3 linked regions of the Stegostoma tigrinum genome follow. The protein of the gene in region 2 interacts with the protein of the main gene of each other region in a pairwise test. Links are inferred from orthologs where the notes say so. Each region holds a gene or a part of one and is shown on either strand. Other genes may lie near its edges.

Evidence for each region. The genes of interacting proteins can lie anywhere in the genome.
Region 1: the proteins of cep63 (region 2) and tbc1d15 interact in binary tests that used the Homo sapiens proteins (3 or more experiments, as listed by UniProt). The two-hybrid records come from large-scale screens. The link is inferred for Stegostoma tigrinum from reciprocal best matches to the Homo sapiens genes CEP63 and TBC1D15.
Region 3: the proteins of cep63 (region 2) and gse1b interact in a two-hybrid assay, tested with the Homo sapiens proteins (2 studies listed by BioGRID and IntAct). The link is inferred for Stegostoma tigrinum from reciprocal best matches to the Homo sapiens genes CEP63 and GSE1.

Annotation. Positions count from the first base shown.
Region 1 is NC_081371.1:44,263,767-44,274,909, reverse strand, and holds the start of tbc1d15 (TBC1 domain family member 15), read left to right. Parts: upstream 1-6,100; 5' UTR 6,101-6,171; coding exon 6,172-6,189; intron 6,190-11,143. UniProt on the Homo sapiens protein: Acts as a GTPase activating protein for RAB7A. Does not act on RAB4, RAB5 or RAB6.
Region 2 is NC_081367.1:1,143,551-1,154,744, forward strand, and holds the start of cep63 (centrosomal protein of 63 kDa), read left to right. Parts: upstream 1-4,385; 5' UTR 4,386-4,570; intron 4,571-11,194. Other genes in the region: tyrosine-protein kinase RYK, read right to left, coding at 4,190-4,343. UniProt on the Homo sapiens protein: Required for normal spindle assembly.
Region 3 is NC_081369.1:53,027,708-53,038,834, reverse strand, and holds the start of gse1b (genetic suppressor element 1), read left to right. Parts: upstream 1-6,084; 5' UTR 6,085-6,169; coding exon 6,170-8,101; intron 8,102-11,127.

The DNA of each region.
Region 1 (11,143 bases), on a different chromosome or scaffold from region 2:
GAGCTGGAAAGGACTCTCTCTTTCTCTCTCTCTCTGTCAACAAGAAAAGCACTCGTTACAGCTCTGACTGTAAAAGACCATCAGAAAACAAGGACTTGAAAGATAACGGCGGTATTTGCTACTGCAAGCAGTCCAAGAATCCAACAAATCAATCATGAACTCAGGTTAAAACCATACATTTCAAGGTCACTCAAAGGACTCTAAACTATATATTCTTTTGTCTTTGTAGTGGACGCTATCCCTTTTTATCCATGTGTGTGGATGAAGGCTGAAGTGACTGCACAAAGGCTGTATCACATCTTTATTATTATTTTTGGGGCTAGCAGTTAATAAACTTATTCCTATTTTTATCTCAGGAAAAGGTCGCAATTGGCTCCTTACTGCTGCAGTAAAAGTCAACAATATTTTTAGTTGAGGAGAGGAGTGGCTCGTGCTAAAAAGAACTTAAGCCTATGTTGTGACTCATTGAAGAGGTTAGAAAAATGGAAGCTGGTTCACCCCTACTCATTGTACCATCAAGGATTAAATTCTTGTACATGGATTCATGTCTCAAGACTCAAACTGACATTTCTTTTTTGCTTAATTTTGTAAAACACCTTTGTTTTGTCCAATCCTTCTTCTGTATTTCTGCGCTGCTTTTAACATCAGATGTTAGTGTTTCCTAAATGGTTGAATTGATTGACATGTTCCAACTTGCTTTCTTACTGTGCTGTTGCAAACTGGAATGTCTTCTTTGTCATGACAACAGTTTTCTTGCTTGAGTGTTAGCTTGTATATTCCAGTTTCTTTTATGACTGGATTGATTATTTTTTGAAAATCTTGTTTTTGTGAAAATAGCTGAAGACACCTGTATAGGAATGTAGGTAATGGGAACACGAATAGCCCATTCAGCATAGGGACTCCAATAAGCCTTCAACTGATCTTCTACTCAATTGATCTTTTACTGCACCATTGCATACCATTTAATATGTTTAACTTAGAGAACAATCAATCTCTTTATCAAATACACTCAATGACTTAGCCCACAAAACTCTCTGGCAGAGAGAATTACAAAGAAGCATCACCCTTTGAGTGGAGAGTTCTTTCCTTATCTCAGTCCTAAATGCTTATCTCTTGTTCTTAAACTGTCCTTTCTAGTTCCAGACAACACAGACAGGGGAAATTTCTTTCCTGTATTTACACTTCAAACTCTGTAGGAATTTTATATAATTTAATGAACCCTCATTCTTTTGAACTCTAGGGAATATAAGCTCAGTTTCCTCATCCAACCTTGGGAAAAGAGACCAAACCTACATACAATACTCAGTGTTTGGTATTAAAAAAAGCTCTATTCAATTTCAGCAAGACTTCTTCACTGCAGTTATCAAATCCTCTTGTAATGAAGGCTAACGTATCATCAACCTTCACAATTGGTTGCTGCAATTACATGTTAGCTTTCAATGAATTAAGAACAAGGTCTTCTAGACTCTGTTGGACATCAGCATTTCCAATATCCCTCCATGTAAGAAAGACTCTTCATTTCCATATGAACTCAGCTGACGGTAATACTGGAAAAGTCAGATCCCACAGCAAGACCTGGCTTGACAGACCATATGTTTTCTTTTTTCCCTTTTTGTTTACTGTGAAGTTCAGTGACTCAATACATTCAGAACAGACTGCCACACACTTGGCCCAAAAACGTATAACAGAAAAGAAAAACATGAATGATATTACACTATATAACAATTTGAAATTTAGTATAACGTTAGAACAAAGGTCTGAAACATTTTAGCCTACCGATAACTATATAGATACTTAAATCTCAGTGAAGCGTCACCCCTAAGCTCCATGTTGAAATTCGATGTTCAGCTGGCAATCAGTTTCCTTTTCTGCACATATTTGTGTGTTCACTTGATGCTAGTTTCTTCATTTACAAAAAGATAAATTATCTGGAATGAGGAAAGTCATCCATGAGAGAAAAGAACTTTTGTTTTAAGTTAAACTTGTCATGATCAACAGAGGCACAGGACTGAAAAGTTAAAACGGGCCAGTTCCTTTTTCCTAATCTGGGTTCACAGTGAATTGAGGTCTGGTTGTAACAATGACAGATTATAGCATTTACTCTATTATGTCAAAGTAACATGCCAATACTTGCCCATTTTGTCATCTGTTCTTTTTATGAGTTTCTTGGTCTTCTCTTGCTAAATCCTAAATTGCTCCAAATCCCCAGGCTTATTGCTTTGTTTGACAACTTTTTAAGAAACCTCTCTTGATCTAATATAATCTTTAACTTAACTAACATATGAAAGGAAATAACTTTTATATTGTAGTATACTTGTGAACCAATCAGCGCTCGCCGTTCATACAATACAGATGTTGATTCCCTTTATACTGGCATTTCTTGCAAACTGTCCTGATGAGTGTTAGACAAAATATTTGATGAAATGTCTTTCTTCAGCTATACTCTAGTTCTGTACCACCAAAAGATTATTGGTATACTCTGATGACAATTTCTCTTATGACTGATTTGTTCCCTTGTTTGTCTTCTCTTTCTAATTTAGTACATATTCTGTCACATGGTCCTTCATCCCCAATATTAGTTTAAAGCTCTCTATACCACTCTAATTATTATGAGTTGTGAGAACACCAGTCCTCACACAGTTCGGTTGAAGACTTTGCCAATATTCCTAGTACTAATGCTAGTGTCCCAGGAATCATAGCCTGTTTCTCCCATATCATTCTTTAAGCCACACATTTAAATGTCTAATCCTATTTACCATACCCAATTTGCACATGGCTAATACAGAGGTTATTGATTTTGAGGTTTTGATTTTTAATTTAGTCCTAATTCCTCCTACTTTCTCAACAGAAACTTGTTTTAGTTCTGCCTATGTCACTTGGTATCTTCTTTTGACAACAACATTTGCATCCTTCCCCTCTGCAAATCCCTCTCTAGTCCAGAGTTATCAAGAAACCTTAGCAAATGTGAAGTCAACTGGAATTGAGGAAAATTTTCCACTGGAATCATAGATAGCACAGTGATTGTTAAAGGTCAATCATCTCAGCCTTAAGGCATTGGTGCATGGGTTCCTTAGGGAAGTGTCCTATGCCCAACCATCTTTAGCACCTTCATCAATGGCTCTCCCTCTATCATCAAATCAGAAGGGGGATGTTGGTTGATTTCATCATATTCAGTGCCATTTAATATTAAAACAGTGCATGCTCATGTGCAGCAAGACGTACAACATCCTGCTTGGGCTGATAAGTGGCAAGTTAATGTTTGTGTTGTACAAGCTCAGGCAATGACATCACCAACAAATGAAAATCTAATCACTGCCCCTTGACATCCAATAGCATTACCATGACTTAATCTAATACTATCAACATCCTAAGGGTTAATATTGACCAGAAACTAAACTGGATCAGTCATACCTGCATCGTGGTTACATTAACAGGCCAGAGGCTAGGAATCCTGCAGCGAGTTACCCACCTCCTGTATCCCATTGCTGGTCCACCATCTCCAAGGCACAAATCAGGAGTGATTCTCTATTTCCGACAATGCTCAAGAAGCTTGACACCAGCCAAGTCAAAGCACCCCTCTTGATCAGAACCCCTTCCCTCTACCTAAACATTCACTTCCTTCAACACAAATGTACATTAACAGCAGTATGTACAATTTACAAGATGCACTCCAGAAACTCAACAATGCTCTCTTGACAGCTTTTTCCAAACTCAGAACCTCCAACACCTAGAAGATCAAGAGTAGTAAATACATAGGAACATTATCACTCATAAGATGCGCTCCAAGCCAAAAGACATCCTGATTTGGAAGTATATCATTGTTCCTTTACTGTCAGTAGGTCAAAATCATAGCACTTCCATTCAGCACTCTTAATGTACTTGCACCAGATGGACTTCAATGGTTCAAGATGACAGGTCACCATTGTCACCAACCTAACAAGGGAAATCAAGAAATGGTAAATAGGCTTTTGGAAGTCTGGAAGTGAGTTACTCATTGCAATGTTCCAAACCTCTAAACATTGTATTATTGTGGCAAGTCCAGATGAATTTCTAGTCAATGGTAACCTCAAGGATTTTGATCGTGGGGAATTCAGTGATAGTAGCATTATTGAATGTAATAGGGATGGTGATTGGATTGCCCCTTATTTGAGATGGTCATTGCCTGGTATTTGTGTGGTATGAATGTCACTGGCTAGTTGTCAGCTCATGCCTGGATATTCTCTAGATCTTGCTGCATTTGCACATGGACTGCTTCAGTATCTGAACAGTTGCTGAACATCTTGTAATCAACAGTGAACATCTCCACTTCTGATCTCATGACAGAAGGAAGTTGAAGCAGCTGGAGACGGTTAGGCTTAGGATACTACCCTGAGAAACGCCTGCAGAGCTGTCCTGGAGCTGCGATGATTCACCTCCAACAGCCACAACCGTCTTCCTATGTGCCAGGCATGACTCCAACAAAAGGAGAATTTGCCATCTGATACCCACTGATTCTGGTTTTGCTCAGGCTCCTTAATGCGGCCTGACTCAGTTGAATATGGCCTTGATGTCAAAGGCTGTCACTCTCATCTCAGCTCTTTTGTCCATATTTGAACCAAGGGTGTAATGAGGTAGGAGCTGTTTGGCCCTGATGGAATTCAAACTGGGCATCAATATGCAGGTTATTGTTGAGCAGGTGCTGCTTGATAGCACTGTTGATGACAGCTTCCATCACTTTACTGGTGATCAAGATTAGTTTGATTGTGCACTACTAACCCTGTGTATTAGATTAGATTCCCTACAGTGTGGGAACAGGCCTTTCGGCCCAACAAGTCCACACTGTCCCATGCCCCTGTGACCCACACACCCCTGAAACTACGGGCAATTCAGCATGGCCACTCCACCAAGCTTGCACATCTTTGGACGGTGGGAGGAAACCGGAGCACCTGGAGGAAACCCACGCAGACAATGTGCAAACTCCGCACAGACAGTCGCCCGAGGCTGGAATCGAACCCAGGTCCCTGGCACTGTGAGGCTGCAGTGCTAACCACTGAGCCACCGCCCATTGGCAGTGAAGAGACCATAAGTTGAAGGTGGAGGATGTGGGGCCAATCAGGTGAACTGCGTCTTGCTGGACGATGGTAAACCTCTTGAGCTCCATTTGTCCATTAAGTGGAGAGAATATTCCATCACACTTCTGACTTGTGCTTTAATGAATGGAGGGGAGAAAGGAGACGAGTTACTCACGTGGACCAGACAAGATGAATGGCCTCCAAGCTCTAACTTTAATAAAAAAAACACTAAGAACAGCAGTTAACAAGGCGTAGAGCTGGATAAACACAGCCGGCCAAGCAGCATCAGAGGAGCAGGAAAGCTGGAAAGAAAAGAAAGAAGGGTCAAGATCCAAAACGTCAGCTTTCCTGCTCCTCTGATGCTGCTTGGCCTGCTGTGTTCATCCAGCTCTACACCTTGTTATCTCAGATTCTCCAGCATCTGCAGTTCCTACTATCTCTAAGGTGCTGGATATATGGACCAAAGGGGCTGTTTTCGTGCTGTATGACTCCATATGAAACAAGATCAGAAATAACTAGAGAAACATAGGCCTGGCAGCTTTTTAAATTCATTCGTGGTACTTGGGGATTGCTGGCCAGTATTTATTGACCATCTTTATTTCTCTTGATGGTGAGCTGCTTTCTTCAACTGCTGCAGTCCATCTGTTGTAGGTCGACCCGCGGTGCCATTGGGGACGGAGTTCTAGTGGAGAGAAAACAAGAATTAACGTTTCGAGTCCAGCGACTCTTCACCAAAACGGACAAAAACTCGGCAGGTCGAACAGCTCCAGTGGAAAGAGAAAGCGGATTGACCGCCCAAAATGCAGCGACTCCAACAGACCTCAACATAATAAAATGTGAGGCTGGATGAACACAGCAGGCCCAGCAGCATCTCAGGAGCACAAAAGCTGACGTTTCGGGCCTAGACCCTTCATCACTCTACCCCGACCGGGGACTACGCTTCAGCCAGCTGTACTGCCACCGCCGTCCACAGAGGGCGCGTCGATATGGCCGGTCTTCCTTGTTGTGGAGCACGGGCCCTCCCATCTTGCATTGGCGATGATCGTTGGTAGACGGCGGGCGCAGCCTTACTGTTTCCCTTCTCGCCGCACGTGACCGCGCCGACGTCACCGGCGACAACATGGCGGCAGCGCCCAAGGTAAGTTGTCTGTGTTTCGTCGGTTTATGGGTAGCTCCGAGGCCACTTCATTAAAACCCGCCTTGTAACCGACAGTTCTTTGTCTTCAACACCGTTCTGGGGTTTTTTTTTTGGGGAGGTGGTGCTGTCTCCACTTCTTTTGGTTAGTGAGTGTTTGTGGTTTTCTTTTAAATTAATGTTTGGACTTTAAAGATGAGAGGAGGTTGGGCTGTGTTGACAACTTGTCAGTTGGGAAAGTGCCACGAGTGCGGCACCTGCTGCTGGCCTGACTGCAGCTTAAAGCTGGCTGGCTGGCACTCACTCCTAACTCTGGTCCCGACCCGAAACGTCACCTTTGCTGCTCGGCCTTCTGTGTTCATCTATCTCTGCGCCTTGTTATCGCAGATTCTCCAGCATCTGCAATTTCTACTATCTCTGACTCGTTTACTACCATCGTTCTCAGTGCTTCTTCTGCACCGACAGTGGGAACTGTTTGCCCCTCTGATGGAGGAATGAAGCTGGAGCTTCATCATTTGAGAGGAGCTCACCACTGTGACCGTGCATTCTCTTGTCAGTGATCATTCACTTTCTAGAATGTTTTGTTGGTATCTCTAGTTATATCGAAAATGTAGGTTTTGCATTGGTAAGTTAAAGAGAAAGCACAAGTTATTTGGGTAAGATGAAGTACGGTGGGATCGTAGTTTAAGAGCATAGAACAGTACAGGCCCTTTGGCCCATGATGTTGTGCTGACCTGTTATCCTACTAAGATCAAACTACGCTGCCTACCCTACATTTTACTATCCTCCGTGTGCCTATCTAGGAGTCGCTTAAAAGTCTCTAAAGTATTTGACTCCGCTACCGCTGCCAGCACTGCATTCTACATGCCCACCACACTCTGTGTAAAGAACCTACCTCTGACATCTCCTCTGTACCTTCCTTCACTTGCCTTAAAATAATGCACCCTTGTGATAGTCATTTCCACCCTGGGAAAAAGTCTCTGATGACTCATTCTATCCATGCCTCTCAAGATCTTCTAAACCTCTTTCTAGTCACCTCCCAGCCTTCTACGCTGCAGTGAAAAAACCCTAGCTCCCTTAGTGATATTATCACTGGACTATTAATCCAGAGACTCACATAATGTTCTGGGGACCTGGATTAGAATCCTGCATGGCAGTTGGTGGAATTTGAATTCAATAAATGTCTGGAATTAGAAGTCTAATGATGACCGTGAATTCATTGTCGATTGTCGGAAAAACCTATCTGGCTCACTAATGTCCTGTAGAGAAGGAAACTGCCATCCTTACCTGATTTGGTCTACATGTGCCTCCAGACCCACAGCAACGTGGTTGACTCTTAATTGCCCTCTGGGCAATTAGGGATGGACAATAAATGTTGCCTAGCCACCGTGCCCTCATCCCGTGAATGGATAAAGTATATAGGACTACAAGGTCTGAGAAAGGGAAGGAGAGACCCACTGTCTGGTAAATAGGTTGAATCAAGGGTATAGCTAAAATATTCAAATGGTAAACTTCTCAGAAGGTATTAGCTATTAAAATCTGCTTTGAAAATTAGTAAGAACTATAACCAGCAAAGCAGAATGACTATATTTGTTTTTGCTACAGGATGACAGTCACAAGAAATTGTTTGGAAGAAACTTGAGAATTGACTTGCCCTATATATAAATATGAGAGTGACATGAATGATGTGAAACAGGAAACTTTTTTTTTGTGCGGTGACCTGCAGTCACATAACTATGGTACAATTCTATCAAACTGTTTTTAATGATATCTACGTTATGTGGTTAGATTGGAGGACTCAAACTGTTACTTGTTGTCTACAATGAGCCCTGAAATCTGACAATCTGGTCAATGAAGATCACAATAATTTCATTTACCAAGTTAGATTATCCTGCTCATTTAACTGATGGATTGATGGAAAACTTTGCATATGTATCACATTAGCTTGTTTGTATTGTTTACATTTGTGGACATGATTAGTTTTAAACTGTTTCCTAATTGATAAATTCTAAAAGAGAGCAGTAAAATGTGTTAAGTTTAGAGATGTTAAGGTTTTAGTATGTTATTGGAAGTTTTATATATGCTGCCATATAGTCCTTGGTATGCACCATACAAGCTAAAATACAGCAAACTTGGTCTTGCCCGAATTCTGCTGCCTGTGCCACTTCTCTTCCTACCACTAATCTACCACACTGGATCTCCCCTTAGATGCTCTTTCTGTACTTGGACCTCCCTTAGTTCTGATTTGTATCATTCTCTACTTTCTCTCCTCACTGCCTTGTGCCTTCTCAAAACTCTGTTGTTTCTTTTAAATTTTTGTCGGTCACAAATTTTTGTGTACTTCCTTTAAAATTTTGGCAAAACAATGCACCATGTTATTTATCATGGAGCTTTGTTTGCATATTAACGTCAAATTTGCTGAGTGACGAAACATCCACACAGCCTAGCAGGAATTTTACACCAGATCGGTCTTCTGATACTTGAATCGTATTCCTGCTAACTTATCAACCAACTACATTCACATCTTGACTCCTGCCTTAGTTAATATTAATGGTTCTCTGTCTTCAGGTATTACTCTCCTTTCACTCCTTTCCTTAAACCCAAACATTGACCTCTGTCTTACAGGCTACCATCCCATCTTCAACCATTTATCTCTTTCCAAACCCTTCAACATGTTGTCTGTAAAATCCTAGTGACTTTACAGAATCCAGAATCATTTCAGTTGGATTCTGCCCAGTCATAACCCTGAAGTGGCTCTTATTGGAGTCGCGATTAACTGTGACAAAGGTGAATAATCCCTCCTTGTCCATTTTAACGTGTTCGCAGCCTTTGATACAGTCGCTTCTCCAACATCTCCATTGCTGTCTGGCTGTTTGGGACTGCAGTTACCTGATCCCATTCATATTGATGCCCCTGGTGTCCTTTGCTCCCCACTATTTCACATCTATGTGCTACATCTCGAAGACTGAATTATCTTCTTCTCAGTCTGCAAATACACTGCTTCTTCACTAACTTGAACTGTGGGCTGACAACTGTCTGGCCCTGATGGAAATCATTCTAGGGTCTTAAAAGAAGTGAGGTAGATGATACATTGGATGTAATTTTGTGGTATTCCTTGATTTGAAGAAAGCCCCCAATATGTTGGAAGCTAGTTAATGAAAATCCTTTTTTTAAAACAAAAAGGTCAAGTGGAAAACAACAAGACAGATGGCATAACAGTTGAGATTGGGAAATGTTAGAAGTTGTTCTTAAAGTATTTGAATAACTTAAGTCACAGTCAACTTCTGTGAGGATAAGTCAGGTTTGAACTGTTGGAATCTTTTGCGGAGGTAACACAGGCTGTGAATGAAGGGGAATTGGTGGTTATATTGTCCTTAGCTTTGCAGAACACATTAAATAAACTGCCAAAACAAAGGTTATTGTAGAAAATAAATGTTCATGGTGGAGAAAGTAACATATTGGCATGGCTAGAAGATTTGCTGGCTAAGATGGAGCGGAGAGTAGGAATAAATGAGTCTTTTTGAGTTGGCAAAAAGTAACGGGTGATTTTTCTCAGGGTTTGGTGCTGGAATCTTAACTGCTTGCAATTTACATAAACAGAATGGATGATGGGACAGAAGGTGTGTCTGCTAAATTTTGCTGATATTGCAAAGATAGGTGGAAAGTAAGTCATGAGCAGACCGTAAGGATGGGCTGCAAAGTGATATAGATAGATTGAGTGGGTAAAGATCTGGCAAATGGAATATAATGTGGTAAAATGTGCAATTGCCCATTTGACAAAAGGAAGTGCATTATCTAAATGGTGAGAGATTGTAGAGCTCTGAGTTGCAGATCCATCTGAATGTCCTTGTGCACGGATCACAAAAGGTTAGTAGGCAGGCACAGAAGTGATCAGGAAAACTAATCAAATGTTATCATCTATCACAAGGGGAATTGGTTACGAAAGTTTATCACTAAGTTGTAAAAGGCATTGATGAGACCCCATCTGGAGTACTGTCCACAGCATTGATTTCTTTATTTGGGGAAGGATGCAAAAGTGTTGGAATCAATTCAAGTAAAGTTTCCTGTACTGTAACCTGGAATGATTGGGTTATCGTAAGAGGAAAAGTTGATCAAACTAGTCTTTTCTCTAGTGCAGTTTGGAAGCGTAAGGCGTGATGACTGAAACATATGCAGTCCTGTGGGGTCTTGACGGAGTAGATTTGGAGAGGTGTTTCCACTTACTGGGGCAATCTAGAACGAGGAGTCACTAAAAAAAAATCAGGGGTCACCCATTTAAAATAGAAGACTTTTTTTTCCTGCGGGACGCAAGACTTTGGACCTCTCTTCCCAAAAATGGACCTACATTCTATCCTCCCAAGAACATTCTGGGCTAAACTATTGGTTTGATTTTTGTTGTATTTAATCCTAAAACGAGCTATGAATTACCTTTTATATGCCATCACTAAGATTGCCTAGTTCAACCATCGTATCAACACTGTCTCACCTTGTAGAGTCAGAGAGTTATACAGCATAGAAACCCTTTGGTCCTTCTTGTGAATGAATGAACGATAATTTACCGTCACTTGTACTCTACAATGAGCAACACAGGAAAATACAGTGAAAAGCTATGACTATTACCGCAACCTGGTACCATTCAAATACTTCAGGAATAAAAATATAAAACTGAAAGTGAGTCGCAATTTCGCTGCACCGCCTCCATCATGAGTCCTGAGATGTGAGTTGGCCAATCAATGATACCCAAGTTGGATCCACCCACAAAGGAGCCACCAACCTAAAGGCGCCAACTGTTGTTGCTGGGTCACATGCTGGACCTAAACTCGCCCCACAACCAGGAGACCCTAGATTGCTGCTGCTGCTGTCTTGCCGACGACCAGGAGAACCCAGCTCCGGGCCTACCACAACGAGGAGCTGCTGCCGCCATAGCACTGTCCCTGTTCCGGGGGGTACCACAACC
Region 2 (11,194 bases):
TTGTCCTGCTGCCTTCAAGAATCCATGCACATGCACATCGAGGTTCCTCTGTACTTCACAGTCCTACCATTCAGTATTTATTCCCTTGCTTTGTTATTTCTTCCAAAATAGATGACCTCACACTTTTCAGGATTAAGTCACATTTGACACCATTTAATCCATCTGACCAGCTCAGCTATATCTGAATGACTTCACGTCCTTCTTGAAAAGTGGTATTCAAAACTTCTAAAAACTAGCGAGTTTTGAGAAGATTTGTAGCTCAGGTTGAGGTTCTGGATGTGAACTTGCTCGCTGAGCTGGAAGGTTAGTTTTCAGACGTTTCGTCACCATTCTAGGTAACATCATCAGTGAGCCTCCAACGAAGCGCTGGTGTTATGTCCCGCTTTCTATTTATCTGGTTAGGTTTCCTTGGACACTACATTGGACAAACTGGCAGGAAGCTAGCCACCAGGACACATGAACATCAACTAGCCACAAAACGACATGACCCACTATCACTCGTATCCTTACATACAAATAAGGAAGGACACCACTTTGATTGGGACAACACATCCATCCTAGGACAAGCCAAACAGAGACATGCACGAGAATTCCTAGAAGCATGGCATTCCAACCGGAATTCCATCAACAAACACATTGGCTCCAAATCAATCTACAGTCCCCTGAGAAAAAGAACAGGAAATGACATCACCAATCCAAGGAAACCTAACCAGATAAATAGAAAGCGGGACATAACACCAGCGCTTCGTCGGAGGCTCACTGATGATGTTACCTAGAATGGTGACGAAACGTCTGAAAACTAACCTTCCAGCTCAGCGAGCAAACTCACATCCAGAACTTCTAAAAACTCTCCAGCTGAGGGTAAACGAATACCTTGTACACATTTAACACATCTTTATCTTTGCATTCTGAGCTCTTAGTTATAACAAGAATCCTGGATTCATTATTAACTGTGCTCCATCCTGTCATCTTCAATGTTCTGAGCACAGAAACTCTAGGTCCTAGGACTTCTTGCATCCATGCAATTTTGAGGTAAAACACAATAGCACAGAATATAAAACTACAGGCCTGGTGATGGAAAATGGGATTAGAACAGATAAATAGCCTGAGGGTTAATGCAACTACAATAGGCCAAGGGGCCTTTTTGCATGTTGTAAAAAATTCAACAAGTCCATGGCCATCCTCCTCAGGAGCCTCCGCCACAGCCAACATCTAGGACTTACCAACCGACTCCACTCCTCCTCCACCCACCACCTCCACAGCCAGCAGATCCAGAGGAGACAATAGCACCCAGCCCTGCCAGGTCTTCACCAACCCCTAGACCTCCCCTTTAATGAGGGCAAACGGTCAGTCCTCGGTAAAGAGCTCATCTTTATCCCCTCCACCAGAATCGAATACTGCTCACACTTGGTCGTTGAACAGTTTTTCCATCACCTCCGTGCTTACTTCTTTAATCGTGAGCCTCACCCTCTTCTACTGACCCCTTCCCCTGCCTCCAACACACCCCCTCTTCCTGGATATCACCCCAAGGCCTCCTATCCTCCCTCAACCTCTTCGTCTCCAACTCCTGTCGAGACATCAATCGCCTCAACCTCTCCATCTCTCTCACCCTGTCCAACCTCTCCCCGACAGAATGCACAGCCCTCCACTCCAATCCCAACCCCACCATAAAACCCACAAACAAGAGAGGCGCAGTTGTAGTATGGCGCACTGATCGCTACATCGCCGAGGCCAGACACCAGCTCTCTGACACCTCCTCCTACCGCCACCTTGATCATGACCCCACCCCCCGACTACCAAAACACCATCTCCCAAACCATCCACAACCTTATCACTTCAGGTGACCTCCCACCCACAGCCTCCAACCTCATTATTCCCCAACCCCGCAGCGCCCATTTCTATCTCCTTCCTAAAATCCACAAACCTGACTGCCCTGGTCAATCATTGTCTTCTCCTGCTCCTGCCCCACCAAACTTATCTCAACTCTATTTTCTATCCTGTGGTCCAGAAACACCCCACCTATGTCCTTGACACCACCCATGCCCTCAACCTCCTCCAAAACTTCCAATTCCCCAGTCTCCAACACCTCATTTTAACATGGGCGTACAGTCCCTATACACTTGCATTCCCCATGCAGATGGCCTAAAGGCTCTCTGCTTCTTTCCCTCCCACAGGCCCAACTAGTCCCCCTCCACTGACACCCTCATCCACTTAGCTGAATTCATCGTCAACAACTTCTTTTTCAATTCCTCCCACTTCCTACAGACAAAGGGGGTGGCCATGGGTACCTGCCTCTTTGTAGGTTACATGGAACAATCCCTCTTCCATAGCTACACTGGCCCTAAGCCCCACTACTTCCTCCGTTACATTGATGACTGTATTAGTGCTGCTTCATGCTCCCACGGAGGAGCTCGAACAGTTCATCGATTTGACCAACACCTTCCACCCCAACCTTAAGTTCACCTGGGCCATCTCTCCCTCCTTCCTGGACCTCTCTGTTTCCCTCTCTGGCAAACACCTGGCAACAGATATCCATTTCAAGTGCACCGACTCCCACAGCTACCTGGAATACACCTCCTCCCACCCACCTTCCAGCAAAAATGCCATTTCCTATTCCCAATTCTTTTGCGTCCACCACATCTGCTCTGAGAATGAGGCATACTACTCCCGAACATCTCAGATGTCCTCATTTTTCAAGGACCGCAACTTTGCACCCCGCCCCAACCAATGGTTGAGAACACCCTTGGCTATGTCTCCCACATTTCCCGCAACGCATCCCTCACATTCCCCCACACCCCACCCCACAACAACAACCAAAACAGAATCCCCCTCGTCCTCATGTATCTCCTCCAACCTCTGGATCCAAAGTATCATTGTCCGACACTTCCGCCATCTGCAAGCTGACCCCACCACCAAAGACATTTTTCCATGCCCACCCTTATCTGCCTTCTGGAGGGACCACTCTCCCCGTGACTCACTTGTCCATGCCACACACCCCTCCAGCGCCACCACACCCAGTATTTTTCTCTGCAACCGCAGGAAGTGCTACAACTCCCCCCTCACTTCCATCCCAGGCCTCAAGAAGACTTTCCACATGCATGTTCACCTGCACATCTGCTAATGTGGTATACTGTATCTGCTGTTCCAGATGAGGCCTCCTCTGCATCGGGGAAACCAAGCAGAGGTCTGGGGACTGCTTTGCAGAACACCTACACTTGGTCCACAATAAACAACTGCACCTCCCAGTCGTGAACCATTTTAACACCCCCTCCCACTCCTTAGATATATCCATCCTGGGCCTCCTGCAGTGCCACAACAATGCTACCCAAATGTTGCAGGAACAGCACCTCATATTTCACTTAGGAACCCTGCAGCCCAATAGTATCAATGTGGGCTTCACAAGCTTCAAAATCTCCTCTCTACCTATGGCATACCAAAACCAGCCCAGCTTGTCTCCACCTCCCTAATCAGTCCTTTCTCCCACCTATCCTGGGACACTACTCGTCCCACCTCAAGCCCCAACCCCATCTCCTACGTACTAACTTCATCCCACCTCCTTGAACAGTCCGTCCTCCCTGGACTGACCTATGTTCTGGGTGTGAGTTTGCTCGCTGAGCTGGAAGATTAGTTTTCAGACGTTTCGTCACCATTCTAAGTAACATCATCAGTGAGCCTCCGACGAAGCCTATGTTCTCCCTAACTCGCCACCTCCAATCACCTTTACTGGCTCCATCCCCGAATCCCTGACTTGTCTGTTTCCTTGCCCACCTATTTTCTCCTCCATCCATCTTCTCTCCGCCTCCCCCTCTCTCCCTATTTATTTCAGAATCCCCTTCTTCTCCTCCCCTTCTGGAGGAGGATCTAGGCCCGAAACGTCAGCTTTCCTGCTCTTCCGCTGCTGCTCGGCCTGCTGTGTTCATCCATCTCTACACGTTGTTATCCCCTCAGTAAGTATTTACTAAGGTTCTTTAGGCAGTAGCATCCACACCAACGACTACCATCGATCCCCTCTCCCCTAGCCCCATACCCGTTTTCCTCGTACCCACTGCCGTCTCATCAGGTCCTGCCCCGTCTCTCCCCGCCTCCCACAGGCCACGCCCCCAACATCCCCCCCCCCCTACCCAAACCCCAGCAGATACGACGCCCACCCTCCACCCGAGCCCCAATTCTCCCGTGGGCCCAGACGCACCGATCAGCCGCCGCGTCTCCTCCACGCTCAGGTAGACGTTGACCCCGGGGCCGCCTCGACACACGGTGTCCGAGCAGCAGCTCCACAGCACCAGCAAGGCCCGCCAGAAGTTCATGGATGCGCCCCGGCCAGCAGCGGCGGTGGTACCCGCCATTGCTGAGCGGCGTTTTCCTGATTCTGTGTTCGTTACGGGCTGTTACACGCGCCGGGGATCGACCAACCGCCTCTCCGTTCCTCCATGGCCGCGTCCAACACGGCGCGCATGCGCCAGGGCCGGATCCGTTTACTGAGCATGCGCACTCGCTGGCCCTGGCAGGCAGTTGGCATGTTGGTTCGTCCCTGGTTTGATAGGTTGTCTCTGAACAAAAGATGTCTGTGCAGGTAGGAACCACCAAAGTACTGGTTTGAAGGGATTTTCCCCAAATAACAGCGGGTAGGGGAAAGGCGTGAAGCGTGAAGTCAGACATGCGTGCAATAAGGGTTAAATTTGTTCGGGTAATTTTACATCTCCAATACCTAACTTACAAACCTGCCAGAAGAAAAGTATTGAAGCCTGAGCATTGGGAACGTTTTATACTTCATCAAAATGAGAACAGAGAGGTCGACAGCACAGAATATGACAATAACGCTACAAGGAAAATAAAATGAGTAAAATTGCGGATGATGTGAAAGTTTCTTTTAATGTGTGAAGAACCAACAGATTCGTAAAGACAAACATAGGTCCTCAGAAGGCAGCAGCTGGTCAAATTACAGTAGAGCAGAAAGAAATATAAGAATTGAACTTGTACTTCAAGTCTGTTTTCATGGAAGGAGGCATAAATAACTTCCTAGAAATGTTAGGGGATCAGGGTCTAGCGAGAGGATAGAATTGAAGTATATCGTTATTAGAAAGACAATGATGCTGGGGAAGTGAATGGTGTTAAAGGGTGACAAATCACCATGGCCCAATGATCTATCATTCACTGACTCCATCTATACATCTACCAAAAACCCCAACCACCCATTTAAACTCTCTTGCACTATCTTCTGTTGGGCAGGAGATATTGAAATTTGAATAAGCATATAAACAGATTCAAGTACAACTTGTTCCTGCTGTTATCAGATTTTTGATGGTCCCCTCAAGTGTTGATTCTGAGCTCATTCTCTCTCCACCTCCTCTGTGGTTGTAATACTGTCTTCTGCAATCTGTCTGCCTTCCAGGTGCACTTTCTATGGTATGGACTGCAAAAGAGCATTTTTCACTGTATCTTGATACATGTGACAACAATACATTGAATAATAAACTCCAGAATACAAAAGGAAGTGGCCCTGGAAACATTAGATGCATGCTGGTTAGCTTTCAAATTCTATAGATTTTGGAACAGTCCCTACAGATTGAAGAGTGGTAAATGTCGCCACTGCAAAAATGGATGGAGAGAAAACACAGGGAATTATAGACCAGGGAGCCCGACATCAGTAGTGGGCAACACACTATGGTCCATTATCAAAGATTTTAAAGCAGAACATTTAGAAAACAATAATTGATCAGACACAGTCAGCATGGATTTACAAAAAGGAAATTGTGCTTCGCAAATCTAAAAAAATTTCTCCAGGATACAACTAGTAGAATGGATAAAGGACAGACTGTGCATGTGGTGGTTTTGGATTTTTTGGAAGGCTTTTGATAAGGACCAATGTAAGAGATTAAAGGGGAAAATCAAAGCACATGAGATTGGGAGTATTGGGGACAGGAATACACAAGGATAACAGAGATAGCAAGTCAAAATAAATCAGCCCTATAATCACTGGATATGCAATAGAGTGAAATTAAAATATTCAGTGACCCTCAAAATACCCAATTGTTCCTAAACAGACTTTGTGAAGATCAGATCTAGGACACCAAGATTGTAACTTAAAAATTAACAGTTTATAATTAGTACTGTAACTTTTTACAGAACAATACTAAACAACAATGTAATCTAATGAATATCCATGATTTAAACACAACTTTTTTTGTTTATAATCAACAGTCTCACACCACCTGGCAGACTGACAGACAGAATTAACAGATAAATTGAAAAGAAAGCAAAAATTATAATTTTCCACTTCAGTTTGAAATCTCACAACACCAGGATATAGCCCAACAGGTTTATTTGAAAACGTGCTTTTTGAGCCTCACTCCTCCTTTAGGTGTTAGTAAAAGAGGTAGTATTACACACAGAATTTATAAGTAAAAGATCAAAGTGTCTGACCTTGTCCACTCCAGTCCAACACTAGCATCTCCACATCACCACTTCAGTTAACCAGTTTCAAACAATAGACATCAAGCCTTCATGCAATCCCTGGACAAGGAGTTATTCACGGGTGTGTGACTACAGGTCTAATTTCAAGATAATTGGTTAATATTAGCAGTTTCAGTAGACTTCCTAATTGTTTACTTTTTTCCTCGCAGACTGTGATTCTTTTGTCTGAATATTCAACAATTCTTTAGATTAGATTCCCTACAGTGTGGAAACAGACCCTTCGTCCCAACAAGTCCACACTGCCTCTTGGCGCATCCCACCCAGACCCCAACCCCTGATAACCCACACACTCTGAACACTATGGGCAACTTAGCATGGCCAATCCACCTAGCCTGCACATCTTTGGACTGTGGGAGGAAACTGGAGCACCTGGAGAAAACCCACGCGGACATGGGGAGAATGTACGAACTCCGCACAGACAGTTGCCCAAGGCTGGGATTGAAACCAGGTCCCTGGCGCTGAGAGGCTACAGTGCTAACCACTGTGCCGCCCCAATTTAACTGGATGCAGAATAGTACAGAAGCTTCCAAAATCACTCTGCACCTCACAAAACCAAACAGAACTAGTTTTCTTTTTTTCCTTTTTGGATCAATTATCTCTTTGGGTGCTGATTAGATTCGGTTCTCTTTTGATTGACCAATTCAACATCTGACTAGCTGCCAGCCCTCGGCATAGCAATGCTTGCTGCCAAATCATCTACAGTATTCCTTACATCCACAATTAGAGTCATAGAGCTGTACAGCACAGAAACAGACCCTGCTGTCCAACTCGTCTATGCTGAAAAGATATTTTAAATAAATCTAGGCCCATTTGCCCACGTTTGGCCCATATTGTCGAAACACTTCCTGTTCATGCACCCACACAGATGCCTTTTAAATGTTTTAATTCTACCAGCCTCCGCCATTTCCTCTGGAAGCTCATTCCAGACATCACGACCTTCTGCATGAAAAAGTTGTCCCTCAGGTCCCTTTTAAATATTTCCCCTCTCACCTTAAACCTATGCCCTCTAGTTTTGGATTCTTCTCCCTGGGGAAAAAGCCTGGTCTATTTATTCTATCCATGCCCCTCATGACTTTATAAACCTCTGTAACGCCATCCCTCAGCCTCTGACACTGCAGAGAAAATAGCATAAGCCTATTCAGCTTCTCCCTGTCGCTCAAATCCTTTAAAAACAAAGTTGTTGGAAAAACTCAGCAGGTCTGGCAGCATCAATGAAGGAAAGAAACAGAGTTAACAGTTCGGGTCAATGGACACGAAACGTTAACCCTGTTTTTTCCTTCACAGGTGCTGCCTGACCTGCTGAGCTTTTCCAGCAACTTTGTTTTTGTTCCTGATTTGCAGCATCCACAGTTTTATTTTTGGTTCTCAAACCCTTCAACCCTGGCAACATCCTTGTAATTCTGTCTGAACCTTTGCAAGTTTCAGAACATTTTTCCGAAAGCAGGGAGACCAAAATTGCGCTCAGTTTTCCAAAAGTGGCCTAACCAATGTCCTGTACAGCTGCAACAGGACTTACCAACTCCTTTACTCAATGCACTAACCAATGAATGAAAGCATATCAAACTTCTTCTTCACTATGCTATCAATCTGTGATTGCACTTTCAAGGAACTATGAACCCACACTCCGAGGTTTCTTTGTTCAGCAACACTCCCCAGGACCTACACATTAAGTGCATAAGTTATGCCCTGATTTGCCTTTCCAAAATGCACCACCTTACATTAATCTAAATTAAACTCCATCTGCCAATTGTTGGCACATTGGTCCATCTGATCGACCAGGTCAGTTGTCAACAGCAAACACATACGTTTGTTTTTTTTTTCACTAAAACTCACAACAGTTGAAAGTTTAAGAAATCCAAATCTCAGTTCATGTGTGCGCCAAAAAAGAGAAAAATAAAAGAAAAATCACGCAGGTCTCTACAGTAACATCGAGGCATGGATTGAAATTTGATTGACGGGAAACATAGACTGGGAATAAATGGGCCTTTTTCCGAATGGAAGACTAGTGAGGTACAATAATAGTCAGTACTTGAGCCCCAGCTATTAACTTCATATGAAAATGACCTAGATGGGGCTGACAACGCAAAACTGGGCAGGGTTATGAGATAGCTTAAGGTGATTTAGACAAGTTGTGAGACTGTGCAAACACATGGCAGATCCTGGACAACATGGCTAAAAGTTGTACACTTGGGTGTGAGAAACCAAAGGCCGTGTATTATTTAATCAGTGATGTATTGGGAAATAGCGATGAATGAAGAGTGTCCTTATCCACCAATCAATGAAAGTTTTTACGCTGTTACAGCAAGAATTAAGAGTTCAAAGTGTGCATTGGCCTTCATTACAAGAGGATTTGAGTTCAGATGTACTAATGTCTTTGTGCAGTTTTACAGGGCTTTGGTGAGACTGCTCCTGCATGCAGCTTTGGTTTCCTTATCTAAGAAAATATATACTTACCGCAGAGGTAGTGCAGCAGAGGTTCACTAGGCTGATAACAGAGATGGCAGGGCTGTCTTATGAGGAGAGACTGGGCCTGTATTCACTGGTGTTCAGAAGGATGAGGGGGATCTGATTGAAATGTATCAAATTCTAACAGGGCTGAACAAACTAGATGTGGGGGTTGGGGCAGAGAAATTGTTCCCTGATTGGGGAATCTAGAATAGTCACTGTCTCCAGACATGAGAGAGACCATTTACGACTGAGACAGTTACTCAGAGGGTAATGAACCTGGAGAAGTCTGTCTCACAGAAGACTGTGAAGGCCAAGTCACTTGAATATATCCAAGAAAGAGATAGATAAGTGTTTAAACATTAAAGGTCTCAAGGGATATGGGGAGAGAGCTGGATTATAATCCAGAATTTACCCCGCGCAATCTCTCAGAAATAACTTTAATCCCCTCAGCTGGCTAGACACTGTTTACTGTCTCACCCCTGAGAGTGGCCATTGTTATGGCAGTGCTGAATCTGATGTGGACAGAGGCCAGCCCCCTACATAGCTCTGATGAGTAGAGATCTGAGGGGCTGGGCACATGTTTCTAACTAATTTCAATACCACCTTGTAACTCCTGTGGCCCGGCTGAAACCATCTTTCACATTCCCATTACAGCTGCTTTTTCATGATTTTGAGGGAATGCTCCTCAATCTCAGATCCATTCTCCAGATGTGTAATGAAGGATCTTCTCTTGGGACTGCTTTTAGAGAGGCCAATGTAGTCGTACAATGGTCCAGGATGGATGCAGCTTAAAGGGACTGTCGCTGTTTGTTTGCCATTCAACAGCAGCATTTGCATCAAATTCTGTATTAGTCGCTCACAGTATCAATAGTGCCCAAAGCAATGTAGTTGACCTCTAAATGCCCTTTAGGAATGAGCAATAAATGCTGGCCTAGCCAGCAACAGCCTCATCCTGTGAATGAATTAATAAAAGGAAGCATTCTTAGATCAGTGGCCACTGCAAGGATTGAAGTATATCATGGATACTGCAGACAATGATCCTAGAACTTTCTGAACTTTGTTTCAACCTTCGATTGGTTACAGCCCTATGTAAGTGCATTTTGTTAGGTTTGCTATTTGACAACACGGGGGTAACTATTTGTCTACTCTTACCAATAAAACCACAAAATACTGAGGATGCTGGAAACCTGAAGCAAGCACAGACAATGCTGGAGAAACTCACCTGGTCTGGCAACATTTTGGAGAAAGAAACAGGAATCAATGTTTTGAATCTAGTATGACTCAGAAACTGGAGGGTGAGTGGTCTGCTGATTGAGGAATGGGAGGAAGGGGCTGAGGAGCGGAGAGGGCAGAGGAGGGGTGGGCAGAGATTGGACAGGGTTTGTGGGTGGTATGGGCAGAGAATTGGTGGGTCTGGTGGTCGGGCGCAAAACGGAAGCAGCCCATGTACAGCCACATCCATAATGTGCACGTGTGTTCTCATGTGAATCTGGTGTCAGCAACTTGCAGCATTTTTTAATTCCAAATTCAGTGTTGTTGATTTTATATTGAAATATTTTTGGCAATGAATGCAACCGTTCTACAACACATCCTCTGTGAATATATAAGGGTTGTTACTTTGGTAACTGCAAGCCCTGACCTGCAAGTTGGATGAGGTAAGAGAGCAGGAAGCAAAGTGTGAGTTTATTTCAGTGAAAATGAATTGATGTTCATGTGTTTGGCTCCAGCATGCCTGTGACAATATGGGCAGTGCCATTGTTTTTCCAGGCCGCTGCCACTTTACCATTTTGTTGTGATATTACATTGCAGGGCTACATTTGTGCACATGTACTGTTGCTGTACCACCCAGCATTGATAATAACATGGTCTTGTAATAAATGATCAGAAAACAGTGTAAAATTAAGTAGCTTATTCTCAGATTGGCAGGCTGTGACTAGTTGGCACAACAAGGATCCTTGCTGAGACCTGACCTGTTCCTATGATGCGTAATCATATTGTTGGCTTTTACTTTCAGCAGGATACTTGCACTTGATGAAGGAATACTGGTGCAGGCACGATGAGCTGAATGACTTCCTTTTGCACTGTGCTGATTTGGTGATAATGTTAATTTCTCTAGCATAAGAACTAGACACAGATAATGCAGTATTGTGTGATTCAAAATGATCTCCTAGCATATTTCTACATCATAATCACAGACACAGGCACTCCAGCACCTTGTTAACATTAAGTTGTTTAGCTATAAACAGCAGCACACCTCCATCAGTTAAAATGGAGT
Region 3 (11,127 bases), on a different chromosome or scaffold from region 2:
AACTGAGAGGAACAGCTGCTTTCTACCCTCTGTGACCAACCCCTCATAATTTTATTCAGCTCTACCAGGACTTCACTCAACCTTTATCTGCACCAAAGAAAACAACCTGAGGTCTTCCAGTCTAATTTCAAAACTAAACTGCTCCAGTCCAGGCAACACTCTAGTGAATCGCTTCTGTGCCCACTCCAGAGCAATCACATCCTTCCTACAATGCAATGAGTAGAACTGTACATAGTACTCCAGCTGTGGCCAAGACAAAGTGTTGTGCAGCTCCAATATAACCCACTTGCTCTTATATTCTCTCCTTCAACTGATAAAAGCAAGACTCCCTTTTGCCTTCTTAACCACCTTATTAATCTGTTCTGCCATCTTCCGGAATTTGGAGATTTGGGGATGAAGTAGTGTGCAAGGTTTCTGGGAGAAATCAGGAGAATGGCAGGAAATGAATTGCTCATTAGGATAGCCCATGCAAACAAAATTGGTTACATTGGCCTCTCCTGCCTTGTAACTATTCAGTAACAAAGCTGCCTTTCTCAGAACCATATTAATATCTCCAGCTGTAATCCTTAACTCTGCTAACTTCCTCAGCCTCCCATTAAATTTGTTTTTTTTTGTTGTGATTTGTCCCCTTTGTTGAGTTGGCCATTCCTGAACATGTTATCCTGTTTCACATTTGTCCTTAAATACATATAATGTGTATCACTCTGAACAGATGGCCACGTGGGTAAGGTAGGTAATGTTTGGTCTCCTGAGCCTGTCTACTCCCTGTTAGCTGCATCCTTCTTTCTCTTTCCTTTTCATTATGCTTTCTTTTTCTCCTTCTTTATCGTCTTCTTGTCAGCAGCAGAGGATGCGTCATTGTGGAGGAGGCTGGAGTGGGATGCATGGTGAAGGCAGCGAGATGGGGCTGTAGTGGTGGTTCATGGTTACAGTGGACCCAGAGTAGAGAGATGTCAGGGAGATGGCAGCTGCAGCTTTGGCTGCGTGGCTGGCCCAGATCAGTAACCTCTAGCGATGTTGGCGGGGTGACGGCAGCAGAACTGGGTACTCCTGGGGCATCAGCAAGACCCGGAAAGGGGCCTCGTTGTGGCTTGGGGACTGGAACACCTTACAGAAACCCAGAGATACGCTTGACAAGAAGAACTGTAATGTTGAACATTATTTCTTACTTTTCTTCCTTTTTTGTCAATTGAACAGAAGATGAAGCTCTATTTAAGTAATATCTTTTTATTCATTTTGTAATCCCAAATGGCACCAGTCTGTAATGACAAAACACTTTTCACTTTATTTTCCCAAATACATGTGACAACAAAATCATTCATTCATTCATTCATTCATTTATTTGTTCATTCCTTTTCGTGGATAGCTCAAATTATCAACTTTCCTTCCCAATCACAAACACCAATTGCATTCGTAACTTTATTTATCTGTGTTGGCAGCTTGGCCTTGTGTTGAATTCAGAATTTTCTGGTGAAAGCTTCATACCTGGAACCTGAGCATGTCATTTAGATTATCACTTTGTAATGGCACCAAGGAGGCGGGCGTGTTGCTTTTTAGGTTGATCTGTTCAATTCAAATGGGCATAAAACTGCCTCTTTCAAAACCAAAGCTACAGGATTAAGACTTGACAATTTTGTGAACATTTAATACCTTGTGTCACTTTTAAAAGGAACAGTAAAGATTCCCTATGTTGTCCTGGCTAACATTTGTACTCTTGCCAATATAGTCAAACCTGTACATCTAATCTCATTGCTGTTTGTAGAATATTATTATGGGAGCAAATCAGCTGTCAGGTTCCCTAAAAACATTACTACATGTCAGAAATAATCAATTCTGCCTTGCAGGTGTAGAAGGTGATATTTAAATGCAAGTTAAATCATCATTTATATGTAGGTCTGTTGTTGAAATGCAGGTTATCCAAAGTCCAGCTATTTTAGGGAACTTAGGTTGGATTAACTAATGAATACCTGACACTCAATTCTCAATGTTGTGCTTAATAAATCGCACGTCTGGGCACTGGAATAAACTAAGCAAGGAGCCCAGTCAAAAAGTGAAGGCTTGTTGGAGCTTTGTTTATACTGATAAAATTATTTGCATATCCAACAGGAAGGTAAGTGGAAAAGCATAATCAATTCAATTTTTCTGCTTAAATTGCATTTTGCAATCCACTCCACAATTTAACAATCAAAATGCATGGGTGGTGGGGAGGGAAATTTCTGAAGCAGCATCTGGGCACAGGGATTTCAATTTCAGGCAATTTTGTTGAAGATTTTCAGAGGGATAAGTGTTTTAATGCCAGTAGCGACACTTTCTTTAACCCAAAAACTCCTTGAACAGACATCCTGACTGCTCTGAAATGAACAGGAACAGAAATTGCTGGAGAAATACAGCAGGTCTGCATCTGTTGAGAGAAAACAGCTAATGTTTCAAATCCAGTGACCCTTCTTCCTAACTAATAGCAGCTGTGTAAAGGAGAAGAGTGGGGGTTGGTGAGGAAAGGGGTGAGTGGATAGGTGGAGCCAGAGCCCAGAGAAAGAAAGAAAAGGGAAAGCAGACAAAGAGATTGTTGGTAGTAAATCAGGAAAGAAGAAAAGGTAGCCTTGGAACACTTGCTAATTTTTCTTAATTTTATTTTCATTATCATTTTTGGTTTGGACTGTGAACTGTCTGCTGAGAGCTGAAAGTGATCATTGGACTGTGAGCAGCAGTGTGTATTTCCAAAAAAAACTAAATGTTATTTCTTTGTGAGGCCAGATCTGAAAGTTAATTGCAGGTTGTTTCTTGTTGCAAGATATTTTGACTCTGGTGAAACCTTTAGCTTAACCAGATAGCAGATGTTAGGCCACTAATGAGGTCAGTATCTGGGAACTGGTGCCAACAAGTCTGGGAGAGAACATGATGATGAAACAGAGGGAGGTACTAGAGTTTTTTTGTGAACTGTGTTGAACTGGGGATTTCTGAGACAGGCAGTTTGGCTTTTGACACTGTTGCATGAAGATTTGAAAGCTCCCCGCCTAAACTCCCGTTATCAACTATCAGCAGTTCAGAGAATAGAAACAAAGATATTAGTGTTATTGAAACTTACTTAGCATGAGCTGGAAAAGGTGGCAATGAGCTCCATCAAAAAACAAATTGAGACAAACCTGTGTACCTGGGAAGCAAAGCAAACTGCTGAAATCATCTGGCCAGTTTTATTATTTTTCCTTTCCTTTTGATTTATTCTTTCTTTATGTTCTGAGGAAAGGTCACAAGACCAGAAACGTTAACTCTAATTTCTCTTCACAGGTGCTGCCAGACCTCCTGAGCTTTTCAAGCAACTTTTGTTTTTGTTTCTGATTTACATCTTTTGGTTTTCCTTAATTATGTTTGTTTTTACTGTTTTTTTGTGTGAATGGAGCTGAAAACAAAAGTTATTGGGTATAAATCATAGATATTAATTAGGTTATCTTACTGTTTCACTTTGCTCTGCTAAAGCTACTGTATTATTAAGAAGTTATTGTATATTTTGTTTAAGCTACAAACAGGGCGTCTTGTATTGATTATTGACTAAGTCTGGTTCAGGTTATTTAGTTAGGGACCACTGCGATCGATTTTGAGGGTCATTTTAATTTACCATGTTGCAAATACACAGTTAGGAATGCTGATCTGATTTGGTTGCCTGTCTCCATGACATAATACAAGGTAGCTCATAATGGAGTCTAGTTGAAATGTGTTGGCAATGGGATGGGGTAGTGAATGAGATGTTCATGCTCTGAGACTATCCAACTCAATATTGAGTCCTGAAGGCTGCAGGCTCCCCAAGCCGAAAATGGAATGCTGTTTTTTCCAGCATGGGCTGACTGTCACTGAAGCGCTGCAGCAAGCCCAAGACAGAGACGTGGGTCAGGGAACACAGTGATGTGTTGAAGTGGCAGGCAACCAGAAGCTCAGGGGCATTTTTACCGATAGAACATAGGTGTTCTGCAATGTGGTCACCCAGTCTTTGTTTTGTGTTCCTAGTGTAGAGGAGACCACATTGTGAGCGGCGAATACAGTAGACTAGATTGAGTGAAGTACAAGTAAATCACTGCTTCACTTGGAAGATGTGCCTGGGGCTTCGGATAGTGAGGTGGGAGGGGGTAAATGGTCAGATGTTACACCTTCAGAGATTATAGGGAGGTGTTGGGAGTGGAGGAGGAGTGGACCAGGGTGTCCCAGATGGAACAATCCTTGTGGAAAGCCAACAACAGAAGGAGGGGAATATGTATTGGGTGGTGGCATCTCACTGGAGGGTGGTGCAAATGGGAGTTTATAATCATTTGGATGTGGATGCTGGTGGGTGGAAAATGAGGAGAAGGAGAACCCTATTGTTGTTGTGGGAGAGAAGAGGGCAGAAGTGTGGGAAATGGGTTAGACATGGCTATCATAACAAAGTGTGGAGCTGGATGAAGACAGGAGTACAAAAGCTGGTGTTTCAGGCCTAGACCCTTCATGAAAAAAGGTCTAAGGCTCTGTTGGCTCTGCCGAGTATAACCAGTCTATATATGTTTATATATTGTATCTTTACGGAGGATGAGGAGTGAAAAGGATGCAGGTTATCAAGTAATCTGAAGGTAAACAACAGTGTGATGCTTATGGGTGAGTTTGAGGTGGCAGGGCTGAAAGTTTAACTCAAAGGAGCAATGGGGACTTTCTGGATTCTTTATGAGTTAGTGGCCAATCACATGTGGATGTTATTGAGGGGAAGTGAGAAATATATCATTGTTTTCATTTAAGGTGCTGTCAAGTGAAATGGAAAGTTGTTAGAGTGCAGAAGAAGGCCACTCGATCCATCATGTCTGCATAGCCCAGATCATGGATACAGTGAAAAACTGACGAAAAGTCACCGGGCCAGAAATGTTAACTGTGCTTTCAGCCCACAGATGCTGTCAGACCTGCTGAGTTTATCCAGCAATTACACTTTTTTTGTAATAAAAAAGTTGGAAGTGCAGGTGCTGGAGCACTGTACTGAGGCGAACTTGTAGAAGTTTATAAAATCATAAGGGGCATGGATAGAGTGAATAGCCAAGGCCTTTTTCCCTGGGATGGGGGAGTCCAAAACTAGAGGGCATAGGTTTAACGTGAGAAGGGAAAGATTTAAAAAGGTCCTAAGGGGCAACTTTTTCACACAGAGGGTGGTGCATGTATGGATTCAGCTGCCAGAGGAAGTGGTGGAAGCTGGTACAACGACAACATTTAAAAGGCATCTGGATGGGTATATGAACAGGAAGGGTTTAGAGAGGGTCTAGGCCTGAAACATCACCTTTTGTGCTCCTGAAATGCTGCTTGGCCTGCTGTGTTCATCCAGCTTCACACTTTGTTATCTCGGGTTTAGAGAGGTATGGGCCAAAAGCTGGCAAATAGGACTAAATTTATTTAGGATATCCAGTTGGCATAGATGGGTTGGACCGAAGGGTCTGTTTCCTTGCTGTACATCTCTATGACTAAGTTGCACCAGTGTACATCACTTGGAGCAAAAACAAAGTTGCTGGAAAAGCTCAGCAGGTCTGGCAGCATCTGTGAAGGGGAAAAAAAAGTTAACATTTTGGGTCCGGCTACACTTCCTCAGAACATCATTTGGTGGTTTTACTGCTTTACCTTTTGGGTGAGAATTTTAATGGAGTGCCTTGCGGTGCCCAGCCCCGTGTAACCCTGCACATTGTTTCTACTGAGATAATGATCAAAAACCTTCTTGAATGTTCTCCATTGAACCTGACTGCAGGGCACAGACGTGGTTGCATCTTCTTGGGAAGAATGATAGCAAGGCTCCTGGCTATACTCTGTGTGTGTGTGTGTGTGTGTGTGTGTGTGTTCCCCTGGGGGTGTGGATGTGTGAAGTTTGAAGTAAGTGTGGGGTCTGGAAGTTTTTGTGTGTGTGTGTGTGTGTGTGTGAGTAAGTGAGTAGGAGTTGCATTGTGGGGCCGTGAAGATGGCTCGCTAGGAGATGGCGCTGTCTAGCTGCCTGGAGCTGGGCAAAGTTTAGTAGCAGATTGTGTGAGGGGGACAGCACAGTCAGTCAGACAGACAGACACACACAGCTCTGAGTCCGCCTTGAAGCTGAGTGCAGAGTGGGCTGTGGGTGGTGGTGTTTAAAGGGGGGGGGGGGGGGGGGATTTACAGACACCTCCAGCTTTCCCTCCCCCCAGCGCGAATGATGAGTGACAAAGAAGCGGCTGCTCCGCGCTCCAGGAAACACCGGCTGATGGCAGCTTTCGAGTCCGGGGAGGAGAGCCCCGGCGCCGGCTCGGCGAACGGCACCGCCCGCTTGCACTGCTTCATCTGCGGCGGTTGTATGAGCCCCGGGCGGGAGCAGCGGCTCCAAGTGCGGGCAGGGGGCTGCCGAGGCTCGCCTTATTTCCCGTTCCTGCTGCAGCAGGAGCCAGCTCCCGGAGCCCGGGGGGTAAGCGCTGAGGGCTGGGTACAGGTCTGCTCCGTCTGCCGCTGCTTCCTGGGCGAGCAGTGGGAATCCTTCGAGAGGACCCGCACCCCGGTCGACAAGCGCATGTACTGGCTCAAGAGACCGCACCAGTGCGACAGCCGCACCGTGCCCCAGGAGTGGAACCCCAGCTACGAGCCCGAAGCCTGCAGCGTGGGGCACGGCAGCAAGGAGGCGCTCGACTCCTCTGTCTCCTCCTTGTCTGACCAGGACCTGACTGACCAGGAGCTGGAGACCCCCGCTCCCACTCACCGCCGGGGCTCTTCCCTCGCCCCTTCCCCCCGGGCCGGCCGACCCCTCTCGCCGACCGCCGACCACCGCTCTCCACCGAGCGAGACCCCGGCCCGCCGGGCACCCCCGGGCGCGGGAGACTCCTCCGGGGACGAGTCCCACCCGCCTGGACCCCGGGAGCGAGGGGGCGGGGTGGTCGCCAAGGGTGGGGGCCCGGCCTGCTTCGTGTGTGGTGCCGGCCTGCCCCCGGACGCTGGGCACCAGGTCCACGTCCACAAGCAGGAGGGCGGGCCCTGCCGGAGGCCCTTCTTCCCCTTCCTGTGGCTCCACCGACCCCCGCCCGGGGCTTGCCCCCTGAGCCCCGGGGGCAGCACCCTGGTGTGCACATTCTGCCACGCATCGCTCATGCAGCAGTGGAGGGGCTTTGAGATGGCCAACGTGCCCGTACTGCAGAGGCTGTACATGGTGCCCTTGAACACCGGAGTCCTGGGCACGGCACTGACGAGCCCCCCGGGTGAGAGGGAGCCCAGTGGCGGTAGGGAGACCCCAGGCCAGGAGTGCTACCTGTGCGGCCAGGACTGTAGCAGAGACGCCAAGGCTGTGCGTTCGAGGAGCATCGACAATGGTGGTGGTGGTGGCAGTGCTCGGGACGGCCCCATGTACTTTCCGTTCATTCGCCTCCTGCCCCGTCCCCCGAACGGCCCGGAGATGAGTGAGTGCGGGGAGGTCCGATGCTGTGACGATTGCTATGCGGTGTTGAAGGACACATGGGGGGCCTACACCGCTACTGGACGGGAGGAGCTGATCTCGTCCGCCCAGGCCTTCCTCACGCGGTACCTGCGGATGAGCGGCGCCGCCGGTGGCCCTCGCCCGAACCCGGCGACCGGGCAGGTGTTCAGGGCGGCCCGGGTCACGGTCTGCCTATTGTGTGGCGCGGAGCTGGAGCCGGGCCGCGAGTTCCAGTTGAACGTCGACCCCCCTGGCCGCCACAGCCAGCGTGAGCCCTTCTTTCCGTTCCTGGCAAGCCGCCCGCGCACGGCCACCGTCCGGCCTGTAGATTCGACCAGCCCAGCGTCAGCCTGCGTCCTGTGTTACCATGACCTCCTAGAGCAGTGGTGGAGGGGGAAGAACACTCAGCATCCCAGCAGCCCCTGGTCCCGGCAGTACAAAGTGGACACCTTTGTCTGCTTCTTCTGCAGGCAGGAGAGAAAGCGTCACCTCGGCCTGAAAGCCATCACGGTAAACCGACTCCCTGTCTTCCTACATACCCCTCGAGTGGCCGAGACTCTCGTGGTGGATGATGGTGAGCAGCTGATAGTTGGGGCGTGTGAGGATTGCAGGGCTATGGTACTGGCTGGAGGCACCTTCAAACAAGGAACCCGCACGGATTCGTTATCACCACCCAGTCACGTGAAGGTAAACCGTTTACTTCTCTTTCAGTGTGATGGCCTTGTCCATTTAAATCTGATTCGCACTGTCCACTCTGCAGTTCACTTGTCCTTTTACGCTCGTTTACAGTGTGCGTCCTTAGATCTAGGTGCCATATTTCATGATTTCCAAAATCAGTCTTGACTTGTCACAGGTAATGTTTTCATGACATTTGTGGGAATGTTTGGTTAAATGACACACGTTGGAATGAGTTCTTGAGAACTCTGTGCCCAGCTAAAACTCACAAAGGTCAAACCCAGCATTGTAACGGGGTGTATCCATCACACACAACCAGATCAGAGGTGTGTGCCCGCTTGATATAAGACAGCTGATTGTCCTGAAGTAGAACTGGAGGCTAGTGATGTTATCTGATGCTTTGTTGCTTTGACACGACAGACTTCATTTTTTTTTTGTCATTCATTCAGGGGAATGACAAATTACGCTCAATTTTCGCCCCGTTTTCCTCTAATGTTTAAGACTAAGAAAGGGAATTTTAAACGAACAAATCGATTTTGTGAAAGGTATTTTGCAAGTTGCCAACGTGTCATGCAAGGAGTTAAGCGTAGAGTTTATTTCCCCAGGCATCGTTTTATCAAGATGCTTGTCCCAAGTGAGCATGTGCTTCCTTATAGAAAGTTGGTTATCACTTAAGGTCTTTAGATCTAATGTTGTTCGCATAACGCTCAGATAAGTAATCTGCGCATTTCAGGCAAACTGATCCTTATTAAAATAATTTGACAATGGTTGTTACCTGACTGATGGGACAAATGCTAAGTTGGTGCTGATTTGTCACACACCTTTGTGCCCTCACTGCGGGGAGCAGGTGTTCATGTTTTGGCGCTTGCAGGGGAATGCCCCTGTCTACCTCAGTCTTCAAGCGGCAGTGCGTGTTGTGTTGTGGAAGCAGCTGTGCATCATTTTGACTTGAGACTGCAACAGTCCAAGTTATTACTGGGACAGCAACAATGGTGGGACAGGTGAAAATTTCACACAGCCACACTGCCAGCTTGTATTTTTCTTTTATTATTTGTGGGTGCTTCAGCAACATGGGTGCGTGCAATTTCTGTTAGAAGTCCATTTGAAAATACCCAGTGAAGTGTAGATGCTACTTTTCTCAATTGAGTTGCGTCTGAGGAGAACATCCTGACTTGGTGATGCAAATTATTGGCAGGTCAGGTTCTGTCAGGGAGTAATCTAAAAGGGTGAATTCAGAGAGTTACACAAACTGTGGGATATTGAGCATCAGGGTGACTTTTTATTGATTCAGTGAATCACCACTGATAAGCTGTTTAAATCTGGCTACACTGAAGTGCTGCATGACATGCAAGCTGGATTTTCACAATTTGCAGTGTTGACTAGACTCCAATTTCCTTCATTGTGTCTAAGTGCTTGGCAAGTCTATTGTTTGTTAAACACATTTTCCCATAAAGGATGTGGCTCTTAAGCTGGAAAAATGCACTTTCTTTCACACTGGGCATGTACATTTTGGGAAACTGTATATCTGCTCCTGTGCACCCCCTCCTCGTGTGCAAGGTCACCTTTACCCTATCATGCAGTTTCAGACAGGATGCACTGACCCCAGACTACAGTTAAATGCTGCATCTTGGAGAAATAGGTCATTGCAAATAAGAGGAAAGCAGAGTTTTTGCAAACAAACTTGAACCTGCACAGTACTACAGCATGCTGTGTATAAAGGTTTATTCATCTTTTGTGGATGTTTAATGTTGGAAATGTTTACCCAGTTTCTGCAGTTACTTCACCCTAATCCATTCCTAAGACTGCTTGATAGTTTGTGACCCTCTCCACTGTTTTTGTTTAAAAGGCTTTTATTTGAAATCCGCACTGAAACAACACAGTCCATTGAATAAACAGCATTGGTCTGTGAAGGCATCTTTTAAATGTTTCACTCATGACTGACTGACTTTGCCCGTCCAGTAGGAACCATCAGTTCTCCGACTTACCCGATGACTGTGTTTTAACATGTTAAATTTAGTACCTTTTCTAATTTCCTTTCAACATAGGGTCAAAAATAGAAGAGAGATGATACCAAAGTTTGAATTATATTGGATTAAGAGGAGGCCACTCAGCCCATCAAACCTGTTGACTGTTGGATCAAGGCTGATGTGCGCATCAAGGCTAGTAAGAACTGCAATGCTAGAGTCGGAGATAACACCATGTGGAGCTGGAGGAACACAGTCGGCCAGGCAGCATCAGAGCAGGAAACTATCCATTTTTCTCTCCCACATATCCGCCCTTCACTTCCCACTGACCAATCCCCACCACTCCCTACCTGCCATCTCCTATCACCATCCCACCAACCTTCCCCAGCCCCACCCCTCCTTTCTATTTATTTCCCAGCTTCCTTCCCCCTCCCCATTTCCGAAGAAGGGTCCCAAACTGAAATGTCAACTTTCCTGCCCCTCTGATGCTGTCTGGCCTGCTGTGTTCCTCCAGTCTACGCTGTGTTGACTCTAAAGTAAGATCATGGCCCTTTGCTCTTGATTTCCATCAGAGGAATTCTTTCCTTCATACTTTGTTGAATCCTTTTCAAACTTTATGTCCTTACAATTAGGTTAAACTTATTAACTTCAACCTATTAAATTCAAGCGACCACAAACCAAGTTTGTGCACTCCATCTTTGTAATCTATTCTTCTAAACCCCAGTATAATTCTGGTGTATCTGTGCTACACTCCACAGCAGACACTTCATAGAATCGCTACAGTGTGGAAACAGACTATTTGGCTCATTGAGTCTACACTAACCCTCTGAAGAGCTTCCCACCCAGACACACTCTCCTACCCTAACCCTGCATTTCCCATGACAAATCCATCCTACAGATCCCTGGACATTATGGGGCATTTAGCACAGCCAACCCACCTAACCTGCACATCTTTGGACTGTGAGTGGAAACCGGAGCACCTGGAGGAAACCCACACAGACACAGGGAGAAAGTGTAAATAAACTCCACAGGGTAGCCTGGAGATATGGAAGTTGAAAGCCCAGAGGATTCGCC